4 linked regions of the Arabidopsis thaliana genome follow. The protein of the gene in region 4 binds, or shares a complex with, the protein of the main gene of each other region. Each region holds a gene or a part of one and is shown on either strand. Other genes may lie near its edges.

Evidence for each region.
Region 1: ATU2AF65A (region 4) and RS2Z32 share a complex: the UniProt entries of both Arabidopsis thaliana proteins name them as parts of the spliceosome.
Region 2: ATU2AF65A (region 4) and SCL28 share a complex: the UniProt entries of both Arabidopsis thaliana proteins name them as parts of the spliceosome.
Region 3: ATU2AF65A (region 4) and SKIP share a complex: the UniProt entries of both Arabidopsis thaliana proteins name them as parts of the spliceosome.

What each region holds. Positions count from the first base shown.
Region 1 is NC_003074.8:19,832,874-19,840,380, reverse strand, and holds RS2Z32 (RNA-binding (RRM/RBD/RNP motifs) family protein with retrovirus zinc finger-like domain-containing protein), read left to right. Parts: upstream 1-3,292; 5' UTR 3,293-3,448; intron 3,449-3,866; 5' UTR 3,867-3,873; coding exon 3,874-3,980; exon of another isoform or gene 3,981-4,468; coding exon 4,469-4,508; intron 4,509-4,625; coding exon 4,626-4,721; intron 4,722-4,817; coding exon 4,818-5,011; intron 5,012-5,099; coding exon 5,100-5,201; intron 5,202-5,508; coding exon 5,509-5,824; 3' UTR 5,825-6,141; downstream 6,142-7,507. Other genes in the region: ABCG20 (ABC-2 type transporter family protein), read left to right, coding at 860-3,079; AT3G53490 (valine-tRNA ligase), read right to left, coding at 6,357-6,586, 6,771-6,963, 7,337-7,507. UniProt on the Arabidopsis thaliana protein: Probably involved in intron recognition and spliceosome assembly.
Region 2 is NC_003076.8:6,267,440-6,274,675, reverse strand, and holds SCL28 (SC35-like splicing factor 28), read left to right. Parts: upstream 1-3,350; 5' UTR 3,351-3,517; coding exon 3,518-3,693; intron 3,694-3,796; coding exon 3,797-3,874; intron 3,875-4,084; coding exon 4,085-4,249; intron 4,250-4,354; coding exon 4,355-4,413; intron 4,414-4,536; coding exon 4,537-4,576; intron 4,577-5,405; coding exon 5,406-5,591; coding exon of another isoform or gene 5,592-5,595; exon of another isoform or gene 5,596-5,651; intron 5,652-5,744; coding exon 5,745-5,751; 3' UTR 5,752-6,032; downstream 6,033-7,236. Other genes in the region: Cpn60alpha2 (TCP-1/cpn60 chaperonin family protein), read right to left, coding at 523-813, 918-1,121, 1,283-1,533, 1,615-1,921, 2,044-2,189, 2,273-2,480, 2,601-2,722, 2,853-3,003 and 1 more; AT5G18800 (Cox19-like CHCH family protein), read right to left, coding at 6,283-6,415, 7,185-7,236. UniProt on the Arabidopsis thaliana protein: Involved in intron recognition and spliceosome assembly. Probably active at the 5' splice sites.
Region 3 is NC_003070.9:28,998,172-29,005,289, reverse strand, and holds SKIP (chromatin protein family), read left to right. Parts: upstream 1-3,154; 5' UTR 3,155-3,326; intron 3,327-3,449; exon of another isoform or gene 3,450-3,625; 5' UTR 3,626-3,657; coding exon 3,658-5,499; 3' UTR 5,500-5,713; downstream 5,714-7,118. Other genes in the region: AT1G77200 (Integrase-type DNA-binding superfamily protein), read left to right, coding at 199-933; AT1G77170 (Tetratricopeptide repeat (TPR)-like superfamily protein), read left to right, coding at 5,754-7,118. UniProt on the Arabidopsis thaliana protein: Splicing factor involved in post-transcriptional regulation of circadian clock and flowering time genes. Associates with the pre-mRNA of PRR7, PRR9, ELF3 and GI, and is necessary for the regulation of their alternative splicing and mRNA maturation.
Region 4 is NC_003075.7:17,292,078-17,300,343, reverse strand, and holds ATU2AF65A (U2 snRNP auxilliary factor, large subunit, splicing factor), read left to right. Parts: upstream 1-2,615; 5' UTR 2,616-2,734; coding exon 2,735-2,848; intron 2,849-3,029; coding exon 3,030-3,316; intron 3,317-3,415; coding exon 3,416-3,514; intron 3,515-3,610; coding exon 3,611-3,684; intron 3,685-4,117; coding exon 4,118-4,194; intron 4,195-4,266; coding exon 4,267-4,314; intron 4,315-4,399; coding exon 4,400-4,459; intron 4,460-4,552; coding exon 4,553-4,613; intron 4,614-4,698; coding exon 4,699-4,811; intron 4,812-4,931; coding exon 4,932-5,378; intron 5,379-5,504; coding exon 5,505-5,640; coding exon of another isoform or gene 5,641-5,913; coding exon 5,914-5,981; intron 5,982-6,067; coding exon 6,068-6,205; 3' UTR 6,206-6,397; downstream 6,398-8,266. Other genes in the region: AT4G36700 (RmlC-like cupins superfamily protein), read left to right, coding at 7-331, 417-595, 681-761, 918-1,901; AT4G36680 (Tetratricopeptide repeat (TPR)-like superfamily protein), read left to right, coding at 6,627-7,865. UniProt on the Arabidopsis thaliana protein: Necessary for the splicing of pre-mRNA.

The sequences.
Region 1 (7,507 bases), on a different chromosome or scaffold from region 4:
GCCATTAGCTTCATTATGCATAATGGCATGCCTTTGTACAATCTTAGTATAGTACCATGCCAAATCCTAATTATGAGAATATCTTATGTGTTTGATATTAACTAATTGCAAAAGTTAATTAGTAACCGCTAAATAAATGTTCAAAATGTTGGATGATTTGATTTTGATACAACAAACAGTATATTCGTAGCGTGCTTTAGTTACTGTACGAAGATATTCACTGATTCAAAATAGTTGGAAATCCAATTAACCCCTAGTCAATTATTGTCTCACGCACCAAAAAACAAGTCTTAGAGCTTGTAAGTGATTATAGAAAACTCGCGGGTCGTGACTATAATAAACAAAAGGAGATTAAGAAATTCGTGACATACATACATGTGCAAGGAGAAATTCTATTCCTGACATGTTACATAAGCTATACTTATTGCAATTCCATAAACTCCGGATACATTATATACAGATGAAATAAACACGTAATTCCATGGAGTAAACTTTTCCACTTTGTAAACAAAAACCACCTAAAATAGGATTTTTTTACAGAGTACCTTAAGCCCCAAGAAAAAATACATACAATAACGGAAAAATGTGGATGGATTTGCCCAACTCCTCACCTACTCGTAACTTACAATTTATATACATACGAAAATATAAACAAAAGCTATGTACATGTAAATATGAAAAGCTACAAAACCCAGAACAACTCAAAGTTAGATACTTAGAGATCACCAAACTAATTGACAAGTTTCTCCCTCATTCTCCCATCCAAATATCCTATAAAGTCGATCAAAATTGTTCTGTGGGTAAGACCTTTAGACACATTACCTGAGGCCAAAACATTAACCAGACAATAATTCACGTGATGTCTGGTTTGTTCGGTATATTATCTCCGGCCAAACGGGTCAATGGCGATGGCCTCCCTCTGTTTTACAATATCCACAAGTCAGTGGAGCTTCAGAGATGTCACAGAGACACTGCGCGGGTGTCTGTCACACTTGCAGAACTTCTCATGAGTGTGGAAGATGAGGGGGATGACCAGAGTCGGGCTATGGATATTGCGGTTGCGTCCAATTTCTGGTCCTCGGTTCCGTCTTCTCGTGTGCCTTCTTCTTCTCCGTTTGTTCTTTCCTTCAAAGACTTGACTTACAGCGTGAAGATCAAGAAGAAGTTTAAGCCCTTTCCTTGTTGTGGGAATTCACCTTTTGATGGTAATGATATGGAGATGAATACTAAGGTGCTCCTGAATGGTATTTCTGGTGAAGCCCGGGAAGGAGAGATGATGGCTGTTCTTGGAGCGAGCGGGTCAGGGAAATCAACGCTTATCGATGCATTAGCCAATCGGATTTCAAAAGAGAGCCTACGCGGTGATATTACTTTAAATGGGGAAGTTCTTGAATCTAGCCTGCATAAAGTCATATCAGCTTATGTGATGCAAGATGATCTTCTCTTCCCGATGCTCACCGTGGAAGAGACGTTGATGTTTTCTGCTGAGTTCAGGCTTCCAAGCTCGCTTTCTAAGAAGAAAAAGAAGGCACGGGTTCAAGCTCTGATTGATCAGCTCGGCCTGAGGAACGCAGCAAAAACCGTGATCGGTGATGAGGGACACAGAGGTGTGTCTGGAGGAGAAAGGAGAAGGGTCTCAATTGGAACCGATATAATCCATGACCCGATTATTCTCTTTCTCGATGAGCCAACTTCTGGTCTTGACTCTACCAGTGCATACATGGTTGTCAAAGTGCTTCAGAGAATCGCACAAAGCGGCAGCATAGTTATCATGTCCATCCATCAGCCGAGTTACAGAATCTTGGGATTACTCGATAAGTTAATCTTCCTATCTAGGGGAAACACCGTTTACAGCGGCTCCCCGACACACCTCCCTCAGTTCTTCTCAGAATTCGGTCACCCAATTCCTGAAAACGAGAACAAGCCGGAGTTTGCACTCGATCTTATCCGTGAGCTGGAAGATTCGCCAGAAGGAACGAAATCCTTAGTCGAGTTCCACAAGCAATGGCGAGCAAAGCAAACCTCAAGCCAGAGCAGAAGAAACACCAATGTATCTCTCAAAGATGCAATCAGCGCAAGTATCTCGAGAGGTAAGCTTGTCTCCGGAGCAACAAACCTAAGATCATCATTTCAAACCTTTGCAAACCCATTCTGGACTGAAATGCTCGTAATTGGTAAACGATCTATACTAAACTCAAGAAGACAACCAGAGCTATTCGGAATCCGCCTAGGAGCTGTACTAGTCACCGGAATGATCCTAGCCACAATATTCTGGAAACTAGACAATTCACCAAGAGGTATACAAGAACGCTTAGGGTTCTTCGCATTCGCAATGTCCACAACATTCTACACATGTGCAGAAGCAATACCAGTCTTTCTACAGGAACGTTACATATTCATGAGAGAAACAGCTTACAACGCTTACCGGCGATCATCATACGTCCTCGCTCACACAATAATCTCCATCCCTGCTCTCATAATCTTATCCGCCGCATTCGCCGCCTCAACATTCTCGGCCGTAGGACTCGCCGGAGGCTCCGAGGGATTCCTCTTCTTCTTCTTCACAATCCTCACCGCGTTTTGGGCCGGAAGTTCCTTCGTGACGTTCTTATCCGGCGTAGTCTCACACGTGATGATCGGATTCACGGTGGTTGTAGCAATCCTCGCTTATTTCCTCCTCTTCTCCGGATTCTTCATCTCTAGAGATCGAATCCCACTCTACTGGATCTGGTTCCATTACCTCTCCCTAGTGAAATACCCTTACGAAGGTGTTCTACAGAACGAATTCGAAGATCCGACGAAATGCTTCGTCAGAGGGATCCAGATGTTCGACAATTCGCCGCTGGGACAAGTTCCAACCGCCGTGAAAATCAGCCTCCTGAAGAGCATGAGCGGCGTTTTGGGGATCAACGTGACGGCGGAGACTTGCGTAACGACGGGAATCGATATACTGAAACAGCAAGGAATCACGGAGATAAGCAAATGGAATTGCTTGTGGATCACTGTAGCTTGGGGATTCTTCTTTAGGGTTCTCTTCTACTTCACACTCTTGATCGGAAGCAAGAACAAGCGTCGCTGATTTACAAAACAGAAAATTATTAGAGTAACTTGACCAATGATTATGATGTACTTAATACTTATGATTAATACGAAATTGCATATGTTTGCTAAATCTTTAATGGGCTTTAGAGTTGATATAAGGCCCAATAAAAGTACTAAATTGGAAAGTGTGCAATTTTCTATTTTCTATATCGGTAATATCGACGTTTATCTCGCCGTGAAATCTAAACCGTTGATTGAAACAAATCGCTACCGTTGAATCTCGTCGGTTTCCAAGTTATAAGATAGGGGTTGAAGACTAATCGCAGTATCATCCGCGGTTCACTTCCTTCGTTTCGAAATTATTAGGGTTACTGCGTATTTGCACTCTCCTTCTTCGTCTCTCCAGGTACGAGGAAGAATCTTTGTAATTGGATCTGTTTAGGGTTACGATTTTATTGTTCTTCGCTCTCTAGATTAGGGATTTCAATTGGTTTCTCGTTTCCTCGCCGTAGATTTCCTTTATAGGTTTCCTTCTGTCTAATCTGATTAGAGATTTATATTCTCCCCTCACGAAATTTTCTTCTTTTCGCCTCTGAATGTGTTATTCAGTTTGGTTTCTTTGTTTTTGGATTTGTGTTCTGCTGAAAAATCATAGATATTCACATGGGTTCTATGTTTAGGTCTGAGGTAGTGTTTTAACTCTCTGGTCTTTTTCTTGTTTATATAATTTGAAGAGGATACTGTTATTCTTTTTCTTGTGATTGGCATATATATATATATATATACATATGTGCCTAATAGCTTATGTTAAAAATATTTTGCAGCTTGACAATGCCTCGCTATGATGATCGCTATGGAAACACTCGCCTCTATGTTGGTCGCTTATCATCTAGAACTCGTACCAGAGACCTTGAGCGTCTCTTTAGCAGATACGGAAGGTAAAGAGTCATATTCCTTTGTCTTGACTGACCTAATTTGACTTTTGTATTCTTGGGGAGATAAGTGTTTGGATTTTTTGTTAATTGTTCTTTGGTGTGAATCTGGAATGATTCCTCTTTGATGTTGTGCAGGGGATATATACCTAAAGTTTAACATTAGAATCAAAGAGGGTAGTTTTTACTTATAACGTTGCATTGGTACATGTGGGAAAATTGTGGAGCTAGGTTTAGTGGATTTTTTTTTCTTTAACTTGAATGATCTTGTTGAAGGTTTCTGGGGGTTTGCCTAACCTGGAGATGTTTGATGAATGGGTGGACTGTGGTGTAATTGGTGGAAATTCTCGTCTGGTGTATAGAGGGTGCATCGGCGATTTTGTTTGTTGATTTATTGCATGTTTTTATTGGAAATGGCCTCAAATCTCAAAAACTGGTGTTTGGAAGTTCCTTAAGTAATGATGGCCTTGATTTTCTGGCAACAATTTACGCAGAGTACGAGATGTGGATATGAAGCGTGATTATGCCTTTGTTGTAAGTCTTATATTACCCTTTTCCTTTATTCAAGCGTTTGATTCTCAAGTTTGTCATGCGCACAAACTTTATATATATGTTATGCATCTATCATTGTCCCTCACATTTTGAGAACAGGAATTTAGTGATCCTCGTGATGCTGATGACGCAAGATATTACTTGGATGGACGGGATTTCGATGGAAGTCGCATCACTGTGGAGGCATCAAGAGGGGTTAGTTATTTGTGTCTGTATTACCGATTCTCCATTGGCTTGATAATTTGGATGAAAAATTACTGATATCTTGCCAAACTTTTGAATTTATGATAGGCTCCTCGTGGTTCGCGGGACAATGGTAGCAGAGGCCCACCTCCTGGTTCTGGTCGCTGTTTTAATTGTGGTGTCGATGGCCACTGGGCCCGAGACTGCACAGCAGGAGACTGGAAGAATAAATGTTACCGCTGTGGTGAAAGAGGACACATTGAGAGAAACTGCAAAAACAGTCCTAGTCCAAAGAAGGCCAGGTACTAAATCTTTGAATCTTTGTTTTTCCACAGTTTGTTCTATTCTTTAAGCTTCTTCTCATATCTCTTTTGGATTATAATTCTCCAGGCAGGGTGGAAGCTATTCCAGGTCACCAGTCAAATCCCGCTCCCCTCGTCGCCGAAGGAGCCCAAGCCGTAGCCGTAGTTACAGTCGAGGTCGCAGCTACAGGTCAGTTGTGAATTTGGACTTCTCGAAAATTGTCTTATAAATGCAAATACGGAATACAATAGGAGAGCCACCAAAAAACTTACCTAGAAATTCATATTTTGAGCTTCATATGTGGGGTAAAAAGCTTAGAGCAATTCTGAGCTTTTTCTGGAACTATATTAGTTTGATCTTTAAGCATGTCCCGTAGACAACTATTTTCCCTTAATATTGTAGAAATGATTCGTACTTTGTAGCTATTAAGTATGTTGACAACGCTAATTCCATGGCTTATGCCCTTTGGTTGACTCTTTATTTCTCTGTTCATCAGTCGATCGCGATCCCCAGTGAGAAGAGAGAAAAGCGTGGAGGACAGATCACGCAGTCCTAAGGCAATGGAGCGATCTGTATCTCCCAAAGGTAGGGACCAAAGCCTGAGTCCAGACCGAAAAGTGATAGATGCAAGCCCAAAGCGTGGATCAGACTATGATGGTAGCCCAAAAGAGAATGGTAATGGCAGGAACTCTGCGAGTCCCATTGTTGGAGGTGGTGAAAGTCCTGTTGGACTTAATGGTCAAGACAGGAGCCCGATTGATGATGAGGCTGAGCTTAGCCGTCCTTCCCCTAAAGGCAGTGAGTCACCTTGATGGTTCACAGGTTAAAAGCTCTATGTAGCATTCTGTACTGAAGGATGTTGTTTCCTTTCCCTTTCTTTCTGCGTGATACTTTTCTTTTCGTTGCGTGACAATCCTGGATGTTACTTTGCCTTCTCTCTTGATGACTCTTGGTTTGTTTTCCGACAACTTTCAAACTCTGCGATGTTACTTTTCATTGTTTAGTAAGAATCATGCATTTATGAAATTCTCGCTTGTGGATCGTTTAGTAAAGAATAAAGCACCTCGTAATGTCTTTTTTGGCAAAAAAAAAATTTGGTAAGTAAAGGAAAAAGGATTTAACTATCGCAGTCTGGGTTTCTTTTAGCCTCTTTAATTGTTAAACAGTTATGACAAAAGAAATAACAACATTGACTTTTCTTTGGATGAAGCAACTGCTTGTATGTATCATTGTACCCCTTTCCTCTCTATGTCCGACAAAAACAAAAATGCTTGTGAGGAGGATCAAGACGTTTTGTATGTATGTACATAAACTTTGAATTACTGTGGCACATTAAACTTGGCTTCATAGGGTATTTTCAAGGCCAAGTTCGTCCTCAATATCGTCACCATCTTCGAACAGCTTGAGAAACCGGGCCTGCTCTTGTTGCCGTTTCTTCTTTCTCCAATACTTGTAACCTACCAAGAGTCCCACCGCAACTACACCTAACAAGAGTACTACAATCAGTACCACAATTCCAGGATGCATTCCGCCCTTTTGTTCTTCCTTCTCGGTGCCTGATTCTTTATTCGAACCTGCCAAAAGAAAAAGAATGCATATGAATATGATAGTCCTAATCACAGAGAACAGATTCAAACTGAAGCTACAGCCAACAGAGATACATGTGAAAGAGATTCCGTTTATAGTTGAAACAGTATTCATGGCAAAACAGTAATAAATGACCCTAAAGCTCAAGATGTGTTGCTTGGTAAAACTCACCAGCTCCAACTTGTGAGCATCCATGGCAGAGAAAAGTAGCATTAAATTCTTTCTCTTTGAAGCGCTTGTAACTACCCTCTGCTGTGAAATCAGAAGGGCAAAGCTCCCATTCGTCAAATGTATCATATTTAAGAGGGTCGTCCTCATAGATTCCACATCTCTTGCATTTTGTTCCTTGAAGTTCGGTTAGTGGCTGAAAAAAAATCAAAAACAGAACAGAACATAGAGGTCAAAGACAGTGATAATAAATTGATGATCACCTTCAACATAAGACAACCTATTTGTTTGCACGTTAAGTAGATTTCACAGATGAAGAACCCCTCTACCATTTCGAAACTAAGATCTAAATTCTGGAGCAGATTCAGCAACCAAAACCATATCCCTAACACATTCCCAAAAAAATAAGTCAATCGCTAAGAACCAGAGTAAAGGCAGCTCTTTTTTTCCTGGTTTCAGATCAAAACCAAACCAAACCAAATTTCTAAATTCATGCTAGAGCTTTGAAATTCAACAACATAATCAAAACCAAATCATCTGAGCTACATTTCGGGAAACAAAAGACAAACCTGCCAAGATTCTTCGCCATTGAAAGAGTAAGAAACATTGGTTCTCTTCACATCAGGCAACACCGTCTTGTTCTCTCCTTTGCATTGGAAAAAGACTGTAGGCTTAGTCGAGAACCAATCGTGAGTCGTGAAAATCTGAACCGAATCTAATGTAACTTCTTGTGTTAGTAT
Region 2 (7,236 bases), on a different chromosome or scaffold from region 4:
TCTGGTAAGATTAAGAACCCGAGTTCGATCTCTGTAATTCAATTGGAGATAAAAACTACTGATTGTCGATTGAGAGCTTATTCTTAATGTATTGAATTACTCCAAATACGTCTCGACATAACCACATAGGCTACAAAAGTTTAATAAGATGAAATTGCATAATAATTGAGACTTGATGACGCTTTCTAAGCACAAAACTGACAAAAGAAAATAATATAAAAGATGTCCGTATACACATTCAACTAGGGCTTACAGCGTAAGAATCTTGCATTACAAGGCATTTTCTTGCTTTCTCCGAAATTTGAGGCTAACTACTAGCTTAGCTAACACAATAAGCAACAATGATTCCAACAATCTTTTTTTTCTTTCACTCTGCACATACCATTGCATCACAGATTCTAATGTTTAGTTAAAACACAACAAGATTAAACACCACTTTGTGAGCAAAGGTTTAGATTCTGACAAAATCTGCAGTAGAGAGTTTGGTTTTTGTGCTTCTTTGTTACCTTTGGTGGTGGTTGGTTATGATGTGGGTATGCCAGGAACTTGAGGAACAGCAGGTTTAGGTTGCTTGATCTTCTCCACGAGTACTGCTTGAGTTGTGAGAATAATGCCGGCAACGGAAACTGCGTTTTGAAGGGCGAATCTTGAAACCCGACAAGGATCTGCGATTCCAGCGTTTAGAAGATCCTCATACTTTCCAGACATTGCGTTGTAACCACTTCTCCATTCGAGTTCTCTGGTTTTCTGCACCACAACTGATCCATCAACCCCAGCATTGGTTGCTATGGCCATTGCAGGTGCAGTGAGTGCCTGCAAACAAAAAAATTAAAGTGATTTTTCACTCTTAAAAGGTTACTTTACGAATCCAGTATGGTTAAGAAAACATGTTTTGTTTTGTCATTACGTTTTCATACCATTGCTACAATATCTGCACCTATTTGTTCGTATGAATCTTCCATTAGATTCTTCTTGATTCTCGGTATCTCATCTAAAAGATGGATATAAGTAGCACCACCACCTGGAACTATACCTTCTCTCATGGCTGCAAATGTAGCATTCTTCGCGTCCTCTATTCTTAGTTTTCTGTCCTCAAGTTCTGTTTCAGTGTGGCCTCCAACCTATATTGAGACAGGGTTAAGCTGATATATAGGACTCAAAAGAAATATCAAGAGCTGAAACAGTATTTTTTATTCTTACTTAGGTAGAAATTATGTTCTGATGAAAGCCCAAGTTGTCGCAGCATATTATAAACAAAGAATGGGTTATTGTAAAATCGGACCTTTATTACAGCCACGCCTCCTGTGAGCTTAGCAATTCTCTCTGCTATTTTTTTTGAAAGATATGAATTATCTGTCTCAGCTAGATCCTTCTTCATCTGAGCAATTCTTGCCTGAATCTCTGGTTTAGTAGAAGCGTCTGCGACTATAGTTGTTGAATTAGCTGTAATTACTACTCTACGAGAAACACCCAGCTGATCTGAAGTTGCACCCATGAGCGACATGCCTAAATCTCCGGAAAGATAATCAGCTCCTGTGTATATGATTTGTCATGTTATCACCTGAAAATTTTCAGTAAAAATTTACTTGGAAAGTACAAATGATTGAGAAAAACCTGTCATGAGTGCAATGTCTTGTAGCAAAGCCTTTTTCCCATCCAACATTCCTGGACATTTCACAACTGCGACATTGATCAAACCTTGCTTCTTGTTCACCACCAGTATCTCAAGCACTTCCGCAGAGATATCTTCTGCAATTATAAGGAGCGGAACACTCAGTTGTGAGGTTTTCTCCAGTAACGGAACTAATTCTTTGGCTGAAGTGATTTTCTGATCCGTCACAAGAATTTTAGCTTTGTCGAATTCCACCGTAGATTTCTCCTGATTTGTGATGAAATGAGGCGACATATAGCCCTTGTCAAACTGTACAAAAGAAATTTCCTCATGAATCACAGAAACTCAATGGTTTGATAATGTTAACAATGGTAAGTGTGAAACTGCCATTGTGAAGCCTTTAAAACATCCAACTTAAGTTTGAAACTAACCTTCATTCCTTCCTCAACTATAACAGACGTTTCTGAAGTGGAAGATGATTCAATGGAGATGACACCATCAGGGCCAATCTTTTCCACAGTCTCAGCAATCAAATTCCCCACAAATTCATCGTTACCAGCAGAGATTGAAGCCACAGCTACAGAACACAAAAAATCCCTATTATTTCAAAATTAAGACAGGAGTTGGATCATAATTATTTAGTAATAAGTATAAAGTAACCTTTAATATCATTCTTCCCTTGAACAGGAATACTTTTCATCTGCAACACCCTGACCAACTCTTTAACAGTCTTATTCATTCCATTCTTCACAGAAACAGCATTAGCTCCAAAAGCAATAGCCAAAGAACCAGCTTTGATCATTTCTCTAGCCAAAATGATTGCAGTGGTTGTCCCGTCACCCGCTGATTCGTTCATTTTAATCGCAACCTACACAAGATAGAAACTCGCAAGGTTCAGATAACTAATTGATACCATTTAGAGCTCAAAGAATGAACTAACAATGGGGAAAAGAAGGGGAATCATTTAGCCACCATGAATATGAATAACCTCTTGGATTAATGTTGCTCCAGCGTTCTCAATAGTGTCAGGAAGCTCAATAGATTTAGCAATGGTGACACCATCGTTAATCACTTTGATTGTATCTTTTTCAGCAAGCACTACATTACGCCCTGCGTCGTGGTTTCCACATTGAAAAAAAATCAATTCGAAATCCCAGAGAAGGGTTGGTTTGCTCATAATCAGATTCTGCCCGGAAAAAAACTTCAAATCGTAGCCAAAATCGAAATCTAATTCACTAACCTCTAGGGCCTAAGGTGATGGAAACAGCATCAGCTAACTTATCGATTCCGGCTTGGAGTTTCTCTCTGCTATCTTTACCGTATAGTATTCTCTTAGCTCCAGCTCTCACCACCGAGAATTTTCGAGGTTCGTTCCTCTGTCCACTACGGCGCTACAAGAGGCAAGAGCGAGAGAACGTGAAGATTATGGGGAAAGAAATTGAGGCGAGAAGAAGAATTGTAACTCACCGGAGAAATGGTTGTCGGCGAGAATGACGACGGTGATACGGCGAACATTTCGGGTGTCTCCTCTCCTCCGGGAGGTTTATCGAAGGGTTTTGATTTTTATTTTTGGGTGACCGAGTTTTTGGAACCGGACGAGTCAAGGTACGAGTTTTTTCTTTTTTTTTGTCAACAACTTTGACACAAAGCCTTTAAAGCTTTGATTTATATAAGCCCATAGTTTGCAAATTTGAAAGCCCATAAGAATTAACAAACAAAGTCAGACCGTAGCCAGCTTCCGGCAAGTGTTGTGTTTTGAAAAACTTTCACAGTCGTCGATTTCTTCCTCTCTCCCTCCAAAATTCACTCTCTAACTCGTTTTCCGACAGGGTTAGGGTTTTGCTATTCAATTGCTCCGAAGATTGGATTTGTTTGAGAAGAAGACCTAAGGAAGAGAAATCTTCGATGGCTAGAGCGAGAAGCCGGAGCAGAAGCTATAGTCCCCGTCCTCGTGACAGGTCACCACCTCGCGAACGGAAAGGCTACGACGATAATCGCCTCCGCGAACGTCCGTCTTCTCGTGATCACGAATCCTCTGGTCCTTCTGGTTTGCTTATCCGTAATCTCCCTCTCGATGCTAGGTCTCTCCGTCCTTCTCTACTGTTCAGATTCCATCAAGGACATCACAAGTTCTCTAATGTTGATTAATTGACACGAGTTTTGGAATGTTTTCTTGTTTTTCAGGCCGAACGATCTTAGGGATTCGTTTGAACGGTTTGGTCCACTCAAGGACATATACCTGCCTAGGAATTATTATACTGGGTATATGTCAAGCTTTGTCTTTTATAATCAGATGCTTTTAGCTATTTCCTAGCTTAGCTTTAGCTTACTGGTTATTTCTCTTAACAATGTCACATTGTCAATGTGTATGGATTCTTGACTAATTTGATTGGTAACTTTTGGTGTCAGTTCAAGTAGTTGTTTGTTGAGTAGGAACTCTTAACTTTAATGTGATATTATTTTGTGGTTTAGGGAGCCGAGAGGGTTTGGATTTGTTAAGTATCGTTATGCTGAAGATGCAGCTGAGGCAATGAAACGAATGAATCACAAAGTTATTGGTGGGCGTGAGATAGCCATTGTTTTCGCTGAGGAGAACCGGAAAACTCCACAAGAAATGCGTACTACTAACGGTACAAGGTGAAGAGTCCGTTTTCTTGTGTTTGTATCATATTTTTATATGAATGTAAATGTTTTGTAAGTAATTATCTTAGTTACTTCCAAATCCTATTTCGTTTAATATAGTGGTCGACACGGGGACTACAAGAGGACTTCACACAGATCACCAAGGCGCAGATATCGTTGTAAGTAGCTTTTTGGTTTGCTTTTAACATTTTTGATATGTCTCAGGACAACTGCAGTGTATGGTTAGAACAATACCTATGTACCCTGTGATGTTTACTAACTATGTCCTTTCTTGTCATCAGCTCATTCACGTTCGCGTTCGCCTCCAAGGCGAGAGTCAAGGTTTGATTCTCATCTATATCTATTAGGCATTTGTTATAATAGTGTATGATGACTCTCTGTTTCATAAGGCTCTTTATTTATTCTTGGAACTCGCTCATGTGAATGCAAACGGCACTGGTTCCTAGTCACTTAGATTGTCTGTCAGTTGTGTGTGGATAATACAATGACAAGGCACAAATTGGACACGTCTAGGTTGATAAGTCTTGTAGAAAAAATGTTTATTAGGGTGTCTGTTTTTCCTAAAATCTGAACCTGAAGACTTATTTCACCAAATGTCATCTTCACCAGCTTTGGTAAGCTAGAGCTTGAATACCACTTGGTCAACAAGTTATCTATAACTTTAGCAAGAGAGTTTTGTAGGTACTATCTGTACTGAATTGAGCTTGACTTGTGTTTTGTTTTGCGTATGCCATTTTGTCATCCGGTCAAATAATGAATGAATAGACTTATAGTGGCCAAAGAAAGAATGGTATTTGGAGAAATAGAGCCATTCAATGTTGTGGACAGTAGAGAAATTTCACAAGATTAAAGATAGGTTTTGTTCCATAAACTCGGAGAAATGAGAGATTTTGGAGCGTTTTGCTCCAGAAAAGTTGGAGAGAAGAGATCTTTCAAGTTATAAATGTATCTTCCAGAAAATGTGTTGAAGGTAGTCATTAGATAAAGAAACAACTTTTCTCAGTTATAGCGTGAGAAGGAACAAAAGCCATTTGAAGAACATTAGTAATACGTTTTCATTCTTCTTGTATTGTATGTTTAGAACAAAATTAATTGTCTCAGTATGTAAAAGCCGTTTTAATCTTCTTCTTTTTCACTGGCACAAGCACAGGCATAGTAAAGTAAGAGAGGATGATTTGTACTCTCCTCGAAGAAGGTCAAGATCTATTTCACGTTCTCCTTTGCCTCGAAATGAGAGGGAATACAAGTCTAGAAACTGTAGAAGTCCTAGAGAGGAGAGGGTGCTTACTCCAATCAGGTCTCGATGTCTGTCAAGGTCCCGTTCTCGATCCTTAAGGTAAATAAATAGCTGCATTGTTATTTAATCTAAATGCCTCTCTAGATCAAGGACTAGAGCTAGCGCCATTGACATTTAGTTTGATTCACTCACATCCAACTCTATCTCTATTAACATCTGTGATGACTGATGATGAATGGTGTTTTGTTGCAGTCGTTGATAAATAAGAAGAAGGAATGGCTTTCTATAATACTATTTTGGCTTTGAAGTAGGCAACTTCCTTAGTGAAACATAAGAGGAATCTGAAGTTTTACTATAAATATTTTTGCTCTTTTTGTTTTGTTTGTTTGTTTCATTTTAGATAACCCAACTTAAGTTCCATTCTCTGTTTTGTAACAAACCTTCAATGTTTCACCAATATCCACAAGCATAACCACAAGATCATAGCAAGACATCCTAGCTGTTGGATATGGTTCTCTAACAGTTTTTAGTCACAAAATTACTAGTATACTGTCAAGTATGGTAGAATATAAGCAGATAAAAACAATTGTTCCATTCTGTGCTGATTAGTGAACCATCGAACAATAAAACTGAGTCATTTAGTTGTCTTTGGAACTCACTACGAAAGCATCTGAGAGGAAATAAATGGGATGACAACAAACAAGAGATGGAGAGAGTAAAGCTCATTCAAAAATGAACATTTTGCTTTATTATGAGATACAAATCAAAACATGACAAGAACTTGTGATTCTCATTTCAAGGGACACACTTTCTCGAAGGCTTCTTGCTCTTTCCTACACAGATCAAACTCGTTTGTGTAGTAATACATACACCCAACATAATCATCCATCTCCTTTTGGCACTTCTGGTGAAGATCCTTCAGCCTGCATAATTCATACAACAAATTTAATGCTTTACCGAAGAAATAACATAATATCTGCATGTGGACCCAACATTATTAATCTACGATCTCGATGATGCTGAAAGTCTTCTTATATTGATATTATTAGAGGATTACATCATACTAAACAACTTCTGCACATCCAACTAAGTCTTAGACCAACATTTTTAGGGAAGCAAATGGCTTCTTAATGGCTTATAAGTTGAGGAAAAAACCATGAGAAGTTGTGGTATGAAACTGTTTCTACTTGGCCAACATCTGAGAGCAAGGATATATGAAACAACCCAATTTCTACAAAGATTGTAATATGTCTGAGTGTAATAGATAGTTCCTCCATGAAATACAGTCTGAACTCTAAAGCATATACAAAACCAGAGCTCAATGAAAAACGATTTGATGGCTGATCTAAGCTCAACCTATGACTTCCATAACTACTTAAGTGTGCTTTTTTTATGGTCTCATGCCCATTGCTAAGATGATTCCACGATATTGTCACAGCTATAGTCAGATACTTTGGCTCACTTAGTTTAGCACAAAAGAAGTGATCAAAGTCCCTACAGTTCCTAATTTCTTGAAATCCAGAGACCCAATCGTTTCTTCATTCAGGTCTCATTTCTGAATCCCAGGCTTACACTCTATGATTAGAATCCTAAATCAACCATTTGATACTCGAGGCTTCCTAACCAAAACCAAAGCCAAAACTACTAAACTTGCAAAGTAGAAGGAAAATATAATGAGCTAAAGATACGTACAAGCCAAGCACGCAGCGAGTGACGTCACGACCTTTGTCGAGACACTTCTCTG
Region 3 (7,118 bases), on a different chromosome or scaffold from region 4:
TCATTCTCAAATAATATTGATGTGTGAATTTATAATGTGTACACACCTGTCATCATAAGTAAGCGATCGACTGTCCTTTTCTAACTAACTTCAACATTTCACTTCAATACTTCAACTCTCTTTCTCTCTCTCTCTAGTCTTTATATAAACCCTACGTACGTACTCTCTTCACACTCACTGAGTCAAACTCACGTGTCAATGACCGAGTCATCCATTATCTCCGTCAAACAATCGTCTCCGGTGCCGGAGGAGGAGGATCATCATCATCACCAACAAGACTCCCACCGAACCAACACCAAGAAACGTGTAAGATCCGACCCGGGTTACCGAGGCGTCCGGATGCGAACGTGGGGCAAATGGGTCTCCGAGATCCGAGAGCCTCGCAAGAAGAGCCGAATCTGGCTAGGCACTTTCTCCACACCGGAAATGGCGGCGCGTGCACATGACGCAGCTGCTCTCACCATTAAAGGAACTTCCGCCGTCCTCAACTTCCCGGAGCTCGCCACTTACCTTCCCCGTCCAGCTTCCTCCTCTCCACGCGACGTTCAAGCCGCAGCCGCCGTAGCGGCCGCCATGGACTTCTCCCCCTCCTCCTCCTCTCTCGTAGTCTCCGATCCAACCACCGTCATCGCCCCAGCTGAGACGCAGTTGTCTTCCTCGAGCTATTCAACGTGTACGTCATCGTCGTTGTCACCGTCAAGCGAAGAAGCTGCGTCGACGGCGGAAGAACTAAGCGAGATAGTGGAGTTACCGAGTCTAGAGACGAGTTACGATGAGTCATTGAGCGAGTTTGTGTACGTTGACTCGGCGTATCCACCTAGTTCGCCTTGGTATATTAATAATTGTTATAGCTTTTATTACCACAGCGACGAAAATGGCATTTCGATGGCTGAACCTTTCGACTCTTCCAATTTTGGCCCCCTTTTTCCTTAGTTTTATTTTTAAATAATCTCTTCTTTTAAAAACATTTAGCCTCCAAACCTCTGAAGTTTATTTAATTATTGGATTCAGACCAGAGTTTAATATACTTGATTAAACCTGATAGTACCATATAATGTTTATTGCTCTCTTTTTTTTGATCGGATCTTCTAGATATTTTGTACGAACACGCCAATTGTGATTGGACGATAAATGGTTTTTTGTTTATATTTTGCTAATTAACTTATATAGTTTAGGTGACCATTTTTTATACTTTAGGTGAACATTTGAGAATTAAACTATTTATATCAAAGTAGCGGTAGATAAAAGTATTATCTGAGATGGTTTGTTAGTTGACATATATTGAATCTTTTCAACTTGGTATTTATTATCACCCTCTGTATTTAATTCACAAAATTTCTACTGTTAGCTTCATATAACCAACTTTTTCAATTTAAATTATTGTTTACAGTGAATGAGAAATACAAGTACAATGCAATATTTAGGAAATACACTTTTGAGAAGAAAAATAGAAACTCATTTTCTTTCCCTAATTAAAAACAATTTGTACCAGAGAAGTAAAAGATTATCGTTCTACCAAAACGAATTTGCAGGTTAAGGATTATTTATCATTTCCTCTTGTTTGACTTTGTTTGCATTAGTCAGACATAATTAATGGCTTGACCCTTAATTTAACATGTCCATGCACTAACTCATATGCAAATCCAACGATGTGAAATTTAAAACCTTTTTTTTATTCATTTTTAATCTTTGTAAAACGAACTTATATTATGTTTGAACAAATATTTTTTCATACGCAATCCTTAGATGGGGAAATTAATACCTTTGTAACAAAAAAAAAAAAAAAATGTTAAATCAACTAAGTATTGGGTGAGTCTTCTCAACGAAAACATCAATCAACACCGGCCTCATAAGTTGATTAAATTAACACATTTATTATAATCATCGTACATTGATTTGAATCAAAATTAATTGTTACGTTAATTAGTAATGCATCTAACTATCCCGTAGGAAAAGGCCATTATATTGGGATCCGCGGTCAACGGAGGTTCCACCCACGAGCACGGTCTTTATTTGTTTTTTCCTTTCTCAAATATATATACGGATGTATGATTTTTTGCTTTTGGGGTTAAACAAATATGAATTACTGTGCTTAGATCAGAAATAGACACTTTTATACAAATGATTATATGATTACTGTTCATAGCATAAGCTCCTATGAAAACAAATAATAATCGCAACAGCCGTTTAACCTAATCGAATGCTGAAAAGCCCTCAAAATAGTTCATCTAATCCATGAATCGATTTAACAGAAAAAGTTGAAAATTGTATGCATATGATATACTCAAGTATATTCCGAGTTTTGAGTTGTGTAATGCAAGGAGTCAAGGACCATAGTTTGTCGTTGAACACAACCACGCCAAGTTGTCCACCAAAACTGGAAACTAACTACCATGCCGTTGTTTCCATAGAAGCAAAACCATTAACCTTCCCATTATCCCGCATGGCCACATATATGTTTAATAATATTTCTCACCATACATTTAAGTCTCTCTCGTAGTCGTTATTTACATAGCCTACGTAGTTCATTCATATCATTTTTGTTTCTTTACCTTATATCAAACAAATTGGTTGTTGATTAGAAAAACATAAATTGGTTCATTAAATATCAAACTAACGCCATCAATCTATTGTTTTTTTATAAAAAAATGAAAGAGAAGAAAGTTTGTTGATATGAAACTTACACTTGCTTTGAGTTTTGATAGACAAACCAAAGCCTAACTAGTATTTCCTCTATTGGTACTTGAATTCTGAACTTTTTCACCTTCCCTTTCGAGGTGGTTTAACAGTATACCAGTTGAGATGTACCAACACCAAATTCTTATACTTTTTTTTCTTTTAACCTTGAATTCAGTATTTTAAACGAAACTATGGGAATGTGTTTGAGACGGATTTTCATTAAGGACAATGCAAATAATTATGAGATGCTCAGAATTGTTGTATATATCAAAAAGCCAACACCTATAGTTATATATATAACTTTCTTCGATTTAAAAACAATAAGTCGCTTTGGCCGAGTGGTTAAGGCGTGTGCCTGCTAAGTACATGGGCTCTGCCCGCGAGAGTTCGAATCTCTCAGGCGACGTTATCCTTTTCGTTTTTTCGTCTATTTTTAAACCGACTTACATAGACACTGCGTATAAGACAATTGATTCCTTTTTTTTGTTGTTAATCCTATCAACCCTAGAAAAGGCTTCACGCCCGATTTCTTTTTTCCCCAGAAAAAGGCTTCACTTCCGTTCGTTGTTCTTCATCGGTCTGCGCCGCCTCGCACATCGTTTCACCTTTCTCAGAATCTCTCTTCCCGTCGATTAGTTTCCTCAGAGGTTAGCTTCTTCGATTTCTCAGATTCAATTCTGCTTTTTGCTTTCCTCCTGTTGTTTTTAGGTTTTTGTCGATCTCTATGTTCAGCGATTCCTAAACCCTACTTGTTTTCCGCTCTATTGTAGTGAATCCAACCCAGATTTTTCAGATTTTAATCGGAATTATTCGGGATCTAATGCTCGCGTCGAGTTTATCGCTAGAAAACCCTAATTTCGGAGGATCTGTCACTTTTATTATCAGAAGCTTGTTGTTGTAATTACGGATTAGGTATGTCCTGATCGTTATTGTTCTTTGTTTGCAGGTTGCGATTTGTTGAAAACCTTGATTTAGACTATGAAGTCTCTTAATGATCTTCCTGCGCCCAAATCAACCACTACCACGTATTATGATCATTCTAATGATGCTTGGTTCAAAAACCGAGTCACTGAATCCGAGACGGTGAAATCCTCCAGTATCAAATTTAAAGTGGTGCCTGCTTACCTGAATCGTCAAGGTTTACGTCCGAAGAATCCAGAGGATTTTGGCGATGGTGGTGCTTTCCCGGAGATTCATCTTCCTCAGTATCCTCTTCTTATGGGTAAGAATAAATCCAATAAGCCTGGAGCTAAGACTCTCCCTGTTACTGTCGATGCTCAGGGAAACGTGGTCTTTGACGCTATAGTGAGGCAGAATGAGAACTCGAGGAAGATTGTTTATTCTCAGCATAAGGATATTATTCCAAAGTTTCTGAAAAACGAGGGAGACTTGGGTACTGTTGTTGATGAAGAGGAGGAATTGCAGAAGGAGATTCAGGAGACTGCTGAAGAAACGAAAGCTGCCATTGAGAAGATTGTGAATGTGAGACTGAGTGCAGCGCAGCCTAGTAATATAGCAAGGCAATCGGGAGATTCACAGTACATTAAATATAAGCCATCCCAGCAATCTTCTGCCTTCAATTCTGGTGCTAAAGAGAGGATCATTAGGATGGTGGAGATGCCTGTAGATCCACTTGATCCACCAAAGTTCAAGCACAAGAGAGTCCCAAGGGCTTCTGGTTCTCCGCCTGTTCCGGTCATGCATTCACCGCCCAGGCCTGTTACCGTCAAGGACCAGCAAGACTGGAAAATCCCTCCTTGTATCTCCAATTGGAAGAATCCGAAAGGTTACACAATCCCTCTTGACAAACGTCTAGCTGCTGATGGAAGGGGCCTACAAGACGTTCAGATCAATGATAACTTTGCCAAGTTATCAGAGGCCCTCTATGTAGCTGAGCAGAAAGCTAGAGAGGCTGTTTCAATGCGTTCCAAGGTGCAAAAAGAGATGGTGATGAAGGACAAGGAAAGGAAAGAGCAGGAATTGAGGGCTCTTGCCCAAAAAGCTCGCTCCGAAAGAACCGGTGCTGCTATGAGTATGCCTGTCTCATCTGACAGGGGTAGGAGTGAAAGTGTTGACCCAAGAGGTGATTATGACAACTATGACCAGGATAGAGGAAGGGAAAGAGAAAGGGAAGAGCCTCAAGAGACGAGGGAGGAGAGGGAAAAAAGGATTCAGAGAGAAAAGATACGAGAAGAGCGTCGCAGGGAAAGAGAGAGGGAGAGAAGGTTGGATGCCAAAGATGCTGCCATGGGGAAGAAGAGCAAGATCACCAGAGACAGAGACCGTGACATCAGTGAGAAAGTTGCTCTTGGAATGGCATCTACTGGAGGAAAAGGTGGTGGTGAAGTTATGTATGATCAACGTCTGTTTAACCAAGACAAAGGAATGGACTCTGGTTTCGCTGCTGATGACCAATACAACTTATACGACAAAGGCTTGTTCACTGCACAACCAACTCTTTCGACTTTGTACAAGCCAAAGAAGGATAACGATGAAGAAATGTATGGAAACGCTGATGAGCAGCTCGATAAGATCAAGAATACTGAGAGGTTTAAGCCTGACAAAGCTTTCACAGGGGCTTCAGAGAGGGTGGGTAGTAAGAGAGACCGACCTGTTGAGTTTGAGAAGGAAGAGGAACAAGATCCTTTCGGTCTTGAGAAGTGGGTTTCTGATTTAAAGAAGGGTAAGAAACCTTTGGACAAGATCGGGTCTGGTGGAACTATGAGAGCAAGTGGCGGTGGTGGTAGCTCTTCAAGGGACGATGACCACGGCGGTTCTGGTCGAACCAAGATCAATTTCGAACGCAGTGACCGGCGTTAAAAGTCAAGACAAAGAAAAAGCTCAGTAACTGATCTTTGATTTCAATATATAACTTGTTATTTTGGATCTGTTAAAACAGTTTGCTTTGGATTATCAGTATTTATGTTGTTGTGAGTCTCTTAAACTACTCGAATACAATCTTTCAGCTTCATAATATCAGATCTTTTGAGCTTATTTTAGTTTCTTTTTCACTGTTACAACTTTGTGTACTTAAGAATCTTAGTTTTGAATCAGGACAACAACAAAAAAGACACATGTTCTTCTCTGGTCTTATCTCCAAGCTTCATGTTCATGGTACTAAGAGAACAAATCACTTCACGATCTTTCACCGTTTGAATCATTTCGTCACTACATCATCTTCCTCGGTTACGCCTCTTTCGCCTCAAGATCGAAACAAACTCTTAGCTACTCTGTTATCAAACTGCACTAGCCTAGCTCGTGTTCGTCGGATCCATGGTGACATCTTCCGTTCACGAATCCTCGATCAATATCCGATCGCTTTCTTATGGAACAACATCATGCGATCTTACATTCGCCATGAGTCTCCTCTCGATGCAATTCAAGTATATCTCGGTATGGTGAGATCGACTGTTTTACCCGATCGATATTCTCTTCCGATTGTAATCAAAGCAGCCGTTCAAATTCATGATTTTACGTTGGGAAAGGAGCTTCATTCCGTCGCCGTTAGGTTAGGGTTCGTCGGAGATGAGTTCTGCGAGAGTGGGTTCATTACATTGTATTGTAAAGCAGGGGAATTTGAGAACGCACGTAAGGTGTTCGATGAAAATCCTGAGAGAAAGCTGGGGTCTTGGAACGCCATTATCGGAGGGTTGAATCACGCTGGTCGAGCTAACGAGGCGGTGGAAATGTTTGTGGATATGAAAAGGAGTGGACTTGAGCCTGATGATTTCACTATGGTTAGTGTGACTGCTTCTTGTGGAGGATTAGGTGACTTGAGCTTGGCTTTTCAGTTGCATAAATGCGTTCTACAAGCTAAGACCGAAGAGAAGTCTGATATCATGATGCTGAATTCGCTCATTGATATGTATGGAAAATGTGGGCGTATGGATTTAGCGAGTCACATATTCGAGGAAATGCGACAGAGAAACGTTGTCTCTTGGAGTTCTATGATCGTGGGTTACGCAGCTAACGGGAATACATTAGAGGCTTTAGAATGCTTTCGTCAGATGAGAGAATTCGGTGTCAGACCAAACAAGATCACGTTCGTTGGAGTTCTCAGTGCTTGCGTCCATGGAGGTCTTGTGGAGGAAGGAAAAACATATTTTGCGATGATGAAGTCAGAGTTCGAGCTAGAACCGGGATTATCGCATTACGGATGCATAGTTGATCTATTGAGCCGTGACGGGCAGCTTAAGGAGGCAAAGAAAGTTGTTGAGGAGATGCCGATGAAGCCTAACGTGATGGTTTGGGGTTGTTTGATGGGAGGGTGTGAGAAGTTTGGGGATGTTGAGATGGCTGAGTGGGTGGCTCCATACATGGTTGAGCTTGAGCCGTGGAACGATGGTGTTTATGTTGTCTTGGCTAATGTGTATGCACTCAGAGGGATGTGGAAAGATGTTGAGAGAGTTAGGAAGTTGATGAAGACGAAGAAGGTTGCT
Region 4 (8,266 bases):
AGCACAATGACTAGATTTGCGGTATTGCCACTCTCTGTTCTTCTTCTCGTTCTCTTGTTCCTCTGCACTGAGTCGTTGGCTAAGTCGGAGGAGTCTGAAGAATACGACGTCGCTGTGCCTTCATGTTGCGGGTTTTCGTCTCCTCTTCTGATTAAGAAAGATCAATGGAAACCAATCTTCGAGACGAAGTTTGGACAGATCTCAACCGTTCAAATCGGCAATGGATGCGGTGGAATGGGACCTTACAAGATACATTCCATAACGTTGGAGCCAAACACAATTTTGCTCCCTCTTCTTCTTCATTCCGACATGGTCTTCTTCGTTGACTCTGGTACATAATAAACTGTTTAAATTTCTTCGGTTTGGTTTACAGATCAGTTTCGGTTTAGGTCAAAATTGGATTGTGATTTGTATAGGAAGTGGGATTCTGAATTGGGTTGACGAGGAAGCGAAGAGTACCGAGATCAGACTAGGAGACGTTTACAGGCTACGTCCCGGTTCGGTTTTCTACTTACAGAGCAAACCGGTGGATATCTTCCTTGGAACCAAACTTAAGCTTTACGCAATCTTCTCCAACAACGATGAGTGTTTACATGTATAAGTTTGATATGATTCTTTCTTTTTTCACTTTCTTGACATCTTTTTCTTCTTCTTATTGTATCTGTATTCCATGGATGCAGGATCCTTGCTTTGGTGCCTATTCGAGTATCACAGATCTAATGTTTGGTTTTGATGAGACAATTCTCCAGTCAGCTTTTGGGGTATGTCTTAATCTGCCGATGAATAAGTTACGAATTGTCTATATCTTACTTGGGAAGCAAGATAGGAATTGTGTATATCTTACTTCCCAACTTACTCTAGTAGAGGATATTTTGGGTTGTATTAAGTGATATATTAAATTCAATGGTTTTAATTAGGTTCCTGAGGGGATTATAGAGCTGATGAGGAACCGTACGAAGCCACCATTGATCGTGAGTGAGACGCTTTGCACACCAGGTGTGGCCAACACTTGGCAGCTCCAACCGCGATTACTAAAGCTCTTTGCTGGAAGTGCAGACTTGGTGGATAACAAGAAGAAGAAAGAGAAGAAAGAGAAGAAGGAGAAGGTGAAGAAAGCGAAGACATTCAATGTTTTCGAATCTGAACCGGATTTCGAGAGCCCCTACGGTCGTACTATAACGATTAACAGGAAGGATCTGAAAGTTTTAAAAGGCTCAATGGTTGGAGTTTCCATGGTGAATCTCACTCAAGGATCGATGATGGGACCGCACTGGAATCCATGGGCTTGCGAGATTTCGATTGTATTGAAAGGAGCAGGAATGGTTAGGGTTCTTAGGTCTTCGATATCATCAAACACATCATCAGAGTGTAAGAACGTGAGGTTTAAAGTAGAGGAAGGAGATATTTTCGCAGTTCCACGGTTACATCCAATGGCTCAAATGTCTTTCAACAATGACTCGTTAGTGTTCGTTGGGTTTACTACTTCAGCTAAGAATAACGAGCCGCAGTTCTTAGCCGGGGAGGACTCGGCTTTGCGGATGCTTGACCGGCAAGTATTGGCTGCATCGCTTAATGTGAGTAGTGTGACGATTGATGGATTGTTGGGAGCTCAGAAGGAAGCTGTTATCTTGGAATGTCATTCTTGTGCGGAAGGAGAGATAGAGAAGCTTAAGGTGGAGATAGAGAGGAAGAAAATAGATGATGAGAGGAAGAGGAGACATGATGAAAGGAAGAAAGAAGAAGAAGAGGCGAAGAGAGAAGAGGAAGAGAGGAGGAAACGTGAAGAAGAAGAAGAGAAGAAGCGGTGGCCACCTCAACAACCACCACAAGAAGAAGAACTTAGGGAACGGCAACTACCGATGGAGAAAGAATGGGAAATGGAAGGTGAAGAGGAGAGTTAAGCCGGAGGAGTAAAAGAGAAGGCCAACGTACGTCAAGAGTGTGTTTGGTTTGTTGTTAGTGGTTAGAACTTTGGTTCTGACCTCTCTTGTAACTTTTTTTTTCCATAGTCTTGTTTATTTGTTAATGTACTTTTGCATTGTTTTTGTTGTTGCCATGTTTAAAGTTGTATTGTGTTTGTATAATGTTTTGTTTTGTTTAAATCTTTGTAGATGGTAAATGAGAAATAAGTAAATATTTCCGAGAGACTGTTGAGTGACGACGTTACTTCTTGTTATTGATAACTCTGTGGTTTATTATACACTTGTAGTAGTAGTCGTACTTGCTAACTTATGTCATTTGGTTTACAATTGTATAATGTATTTGTAACCCTCTTGCTATAGCTTCGGCATATTAAAGTTTTGAATGGTGATAACGGAGGAGTCGTAGATAATGCAATCAACTTCCCATGCTCTGTTCTCTTGTTGTTGCAAGAGATATTGGAATAAAAGGCAAATTTATCTCAAACACAGATTGGGCCATATCTTGAAAAGGCAAATTCATAAAACTCTCAAAAAGTAGATTTATCCCAAACACGAATTGGGCCAACTATTGGACCGGATGCGCTGAATAATGGGCCTTATCAGATTTGGACCGGCCTGTTTTTATATGACATTTACAAAAATACCCTCACAGGAGGTCCCGTGTTGGCTATAAAAAAATAGAATAATCCGTAATTGCCCTAAAATAGTTTGGTTTCTGCATCCACCCCTTTCTTCGAATCTCGACGGCTGAAACAGATTCTAAATTTATCTCCGGTGAGAAAGAGATAGAGAGCGTTGATTCCGGCGAAAAGATGTCTGAATTCGAAGATCACGAGGGAAACGGTACGGTTGCTGACGCGATTTACGACGAAGAGAATGGTGGCCGCGACGGCGAAATCGAGGATCAATTGGACTCGAAACCCAAGGTAATTTCCCCCCTGATTATCTTCAATCTCCTAGCTTATAGTTGGAGTTTCGAATCTATATTTCCTAGCAATTGGATTGAATTGAGAATCGAATTATGAGATGATTAGTTTTAAAGCTGCTTCTGTTTCATTGATTCTTAAACTGTAATTGATGAGGTTTTGGGTGTGTTTACATGTGCAGAGAGAATCGCGTGACCATGAAAGAGAGACATCAAGAAGTAAAGATAGAGAAAGAGAGAAGGGTCGTGATAAGGACAGAGAAAGAGACTCTGAAGTCTCTCGCCGAAGCAGGGATAGAGATGGAGAGAAAAGCAAGGAGAGGAGTAGAGACAAAGACAGAGATCATCGTGAGCGTCATCACAGAAGTAGTCGTCACAGGGATCATAGCAGGGAGCGTGGTGAAAGAAGAGAACGTGGTGGTAGGGATGATGATGATTACCGTCGAAGCCGTGATCGTGACCATGATAGGTAGACTGTTCTTGAATTGAATTATACATTTTCAATTTAGATTGAATCCTTTTTGATTTTATGGAAGGTACTGATTTGGCTTATTTTTTATTCTTCTAGGCGGAGAGATGATAGAGGAGGAAGACGCAGTCGTCGATCTCGATCTCGTTCAAAGGATAGATCTGAGCGCAGAACAAGGTCACGATCTCCATCGAAAAGGTAGCATTTTTTTCTCATTGGATTACTTACTCTTCTATGAAGTAATTGCTTCAATCTAAGAAAGTTTCTAACCTCACTCAATATATGTTGTTGCAGTAAGCAGCGAGTCAGTGGATTCGATATGGCACCTCCAGCCTCTGCAATGTTAGCTGCTGGTGCTGCTGTTACAGGTATATCTCTTTAATTTAGCACCTTCTCATTAGCATAATGTAGAATTCATACCTAATACACGTACTGGGATTGATAAAATCTGTTTCTCCTGAATAACTACAAAAACATAGGCTGTTTTCTTTCTTTTTTTACTTGGGACATAACGCTAGAACTGAGAGCTTTTGGTTGTTTGGTGGTCTTTGTGTCTCTTGTTTGCTTTTCTGTTTTGGTAAGGCAACACTGGGTGTGGGCTGGTTAGCTCTTATATACAAGGAAGAATTACTGCGTATGGGTATTGCTCATCCTCAGTACATATCACTGGTTTTGTTAGTCTTGCAAAAATTTTCCATGCAGACTTAAACCTCTTGATGTCACCAATACATTTCCAGGGATGGTAAACTAGGTTTTCTCATATGTAATTTTCTTATGTATTAACCTGTTTTTCTTTTGTAGGCCAAGTTCCTCCCGCTCCACCAACTCTTCCTGGGGCTGGAATGTTTCCCAACATGTTTCCATTGCCGACTGGACAGGTCTGTGGTCTTTCCCTTTTAATATTTTCTTAATTGATGTCTTTCTTGAACTAAGTCGTCTATGTCCTACAGTCATTTGGGGGACTCTCTATGATGCCAATTCAGGCTATGACACAGCAGGTTAGATTTTATTTATCATGGATATACGCAAGATACTATGTATTTCTCTGTTCTAATTTAATCCTTATTTACTTTGTGTCTTCAGGCAACTAGACATGCTCGCAGAGTCTATGTCGGTGGGCTTTCCCCTACGGCAAATGAACAGGTTATTATCCACTTTCTTTTTTCATTTTCTCCCACTGAAATATGTTTCAGCAAATAATGATACTAACATTGATTTATTATTTTGTATTTGCAGTCTGTGGCTACATTTTTTAGTCAAGTTATGGCTGCTGTTGGTGGAAACACTGCTGGTCCAGGTACATAATCCTGGTGCAGATGCTAGAGTGTCTATTATGATACTTGGATTAATCTTTTTTTATAAATCTTTTTTCTTACTCGCAGGTGATGCAGTTGTTAATGTCTACATAAACCACGAGAAGAAGTTTGCTTTTGTGGAGATGCGATCTGTTGAAGAGGCAAGTAACGCTATGTCTTTGGATGGGATTATATTTGAGGTATGTTTTAATGTTTACCGCACTACCAAATATTTGGTTGAGTTTTAGTACTGGCATTTCTTTGGTATATAGGTTACCCAACTGAATGCTTATCTTTCTTTTTCTTTTTTTCTTTTCCAGGGAGCTCCGGTGAAGGTGAGGAGACCTAGTGACTATAACCCATCTCTAGCTGCGACTCTTGGTCCAAGCCAGCCCAGTCCCCATCTAAACTTAGCTGCTGTTGGTCTGACTCCAGGTGCTTCTGGTGGGCTTGAGGGACCAGATCGTATTTTTGTTGGTGGACTTCCATATTACTTCACGGAATCACAAGTGAGGGAGTTGTTGGAGTCCTTTGGAGGCCTCAAGGGCTTTGATCTTGTAAAAGATCGAGAAACAGGGAACTCTAAAGGATATGCCTTTTGTGTGTACCAAGATCTTTCTGTTACAGATATCGCGTGCGCTGCCCTAAATGGTATCAAGATGGGAGATAAGACTCTTACAGTGAGACGTGCCAACCAGGGAACAATGCTACAAAAGCCTGAACAAGAGAACGTATTATTGCATGCACAGCAGCAAATAGCTTTTCAGGTAATTTTTTTTCTTCTTAATAATATTGGAAGAAAACAAAATGAGCTTGCAAAACGTGTTGAGACCTAACTTGAATATTTCCATTTATAAGATTAAAAGACTGATTGATGGTTTTATCTTTTGCAGAGGGTTATGTTACAGCCTGGTGCAGTGGCAACCACTGTGGTGTGTCTGACTCAAGTTGTTACTGAGGATGAGCTTAGAGATGATGAGGAGTATGGAGATATAATGGAAGACATGAGACAGGAAGGCGGAAAGTTTGGTAAGAGACCTCTTAATTGCGCAATATGGTCTATTTTGAAATATAAGATTAAAAGCATATTGATCTGTCTCTCTGTTTTCTTGGTTGTGCTGTTTTACAGCCTTTTGCTATAAAGAATCAGCCCTAACATACACAGACAGGAGACTGCATAAACCTCCTAATCTATTTATCACCAATGGCCACTATTTCTTAAAAGAAAAAACTGACTTGTTTTTGTCTGTGTTTTCTTGTCTTGTATTCGAAATGTTTTGTTCTTTAACTCTTAAAATGCAGGTGCTTTGACCAATGTTGTGATTCCGCGTCCAAGCCCCAATGGTGAGCCAGTGGCAGGCCTTGGCAAGGTAAACTTATCTCTCTCTCTTTCTCTCTACTTCTTGTATATTTCTATTTAGTCGTAATCTGACTGTCTGATATATTTAATGTGCAGGTGTTTTTGAAGTATGCCGATACAGATGGCTCGACTAGGGCAAGATTCGGGATGAATGGTAGGAAATTTGGAGGAAATGAAGTCGTTGCAGTGTATTACCCTGAAGACAAGTTTGAACAGGGTGATTATGGAGCCTGATCACTTCTTTGTTTGCTTTCTATTACTTAAAAGTTAAGTACTTTGCTTCAGTTTCAAGACCCTTTTGCGTGATTGTAAGAGTATGAGATTATCGACACGTTGCTTATTATAACGTTTTTATCTCATATCTTTGGTCTATTTCTTAAATATTTATCTCAAAAATTATTCACAGAATAACATCATGAGTCCCTCGTAAAACATCATTCGTCTCTCGTAAATGTGACATATGTTCTAAATCAACACAAGAAGTTGAGTACTCTCTCTATTGAAATATTCAAGTAGTTTGGTTCTCTTCTGATAGAAGAAAAAAGAAAGAAAAAGAAGCAAACTTGTAAAACCCAAAAATCTCTGTTAAGCCACTAAAACCCTAAAGGCGTCTCCTTTTCTCGCCACCACTCTCCACAATACCCATTTCTGCAAAATGGCTTCTTCTCGTATTTCTCTCCGCCTTGTTCGCCGATTTGCCTCAGCCGCCGCTGACGGTACGACCACCGCTCCCTCTTCAGGCAAAATCTCTGTCTCCAAAGCTAAGTCCACTCTCCGGAAAGAACACGATCCCGACAAAGCTCTTAAGATCTACGCCAATGTCTCCGATCACTCAGCCTCTCCTGTTTCATCTCGCTACGCCCAAGAGCTCACTGTTCGTCGCCTCGCCAAGTGTCGCCGTTTCTCAGACATCGAAACCCTAATTGAATCCCACAAAAATGATCCCAAAATCAAAGAAGAACCTTTCTACTCTACGCTTATCAGATCTTACGGCCAAGCCTCTATGTTTAATCACGCCATGAGAACCTTCGAGCAGATGGATCAATACGGCACACCCAGATCAGCTGTTTCCTTCAACGCCTTGCTCAACGCTTGTCTCCATTCCAAGAATTTCGATAAAGTCCCCCAACTGTTCGACGAAATTCCTCAGAGGTACAATAAGATCATCCCTGACAAAATCTCTTACGGTATATTGATTAAGTCATACTGTGACTCTGGTACCCCTGAAAAAGCCATTGAGATTATGAGACAGATGCAAGGTAAAGGCATGGAAGTTACTACCATTGCTTTCACCACCATTTTGAGTTCATTGTATAAGAAAGGTGAGCTCGAGGTAGCTGATAACTTGTGGAATGAGATGGTGAAGAAAGGCTGTGAATTGGATAATGCAGCGTATAATGTTCGTATAATGAGTGCTCAAAAGGAAAGCCCTGAAAGAGTTAAGGAGTTGATTGAAGAAATGAGTAGTATGGGATTGAAACCTGATACGATTAGCTATAACTATCTTATGACTGCGTATTGTGAGAGAGGAATGTTGGACGAAGCTAAGAAAGTGTATGAAGGACTTGAAGGTAACAACTGTGCTCCCAACGCAGCTACTTTTAGGACATTGATATTTCATCTTTGTTATAGCCGATTGTACGAGCAAGGCTATGCGATCTTCAAGAAGAGTGTGTATATGCACAAGATTCCAGATTTCAACACTTTGAAGCATTTGGTTGTGGGATTGGTGGAGAACAAGAAAAGAGATGACGCTAAAGGGTTGATTAGAACGGTGAAGAAGAAATTCCCTCCGAGTTTCTTGAATGCGTGGAAGAAACTCGAGGAGGAACTCGGGCTGTATTCAAAAACCGATGCTTTTCCATCTTCTGCAAAAGAGGCTGCTGCTGCTTAATAGCTCAAGAGCATTTCGATTGAACATCTTATTTTGTTGCTTGAAGACTTGTTGAAAACTATGATCTAGTATGCAGGTTTATTTATAAGCTGCTCCTGCATTTTTCTTTCCTCATAAATTAGCTTGTAAAAGCTTGACGGTTTGTTGTTGGAATCTCTAGAATTCCATAGTCAACAATTTTCAGGTTCATATAGTTCACTGCTTTGTTCTACACACTTGTGCTTCATGATGAATTCAAGTTTCTTTCAGTTTTATGTTGTTTTTACATATCCTTCTACTTGCAACTAAAGGGTCAAGCTGGTTCTGTTGGTATAGCTAAACTCTGTTTCTTGGTACGAAGATGGTTTCGCGTATAGTGGAATCTTGATCTCGTTGGAACTCAATTTGACTTGGCTTCCCCT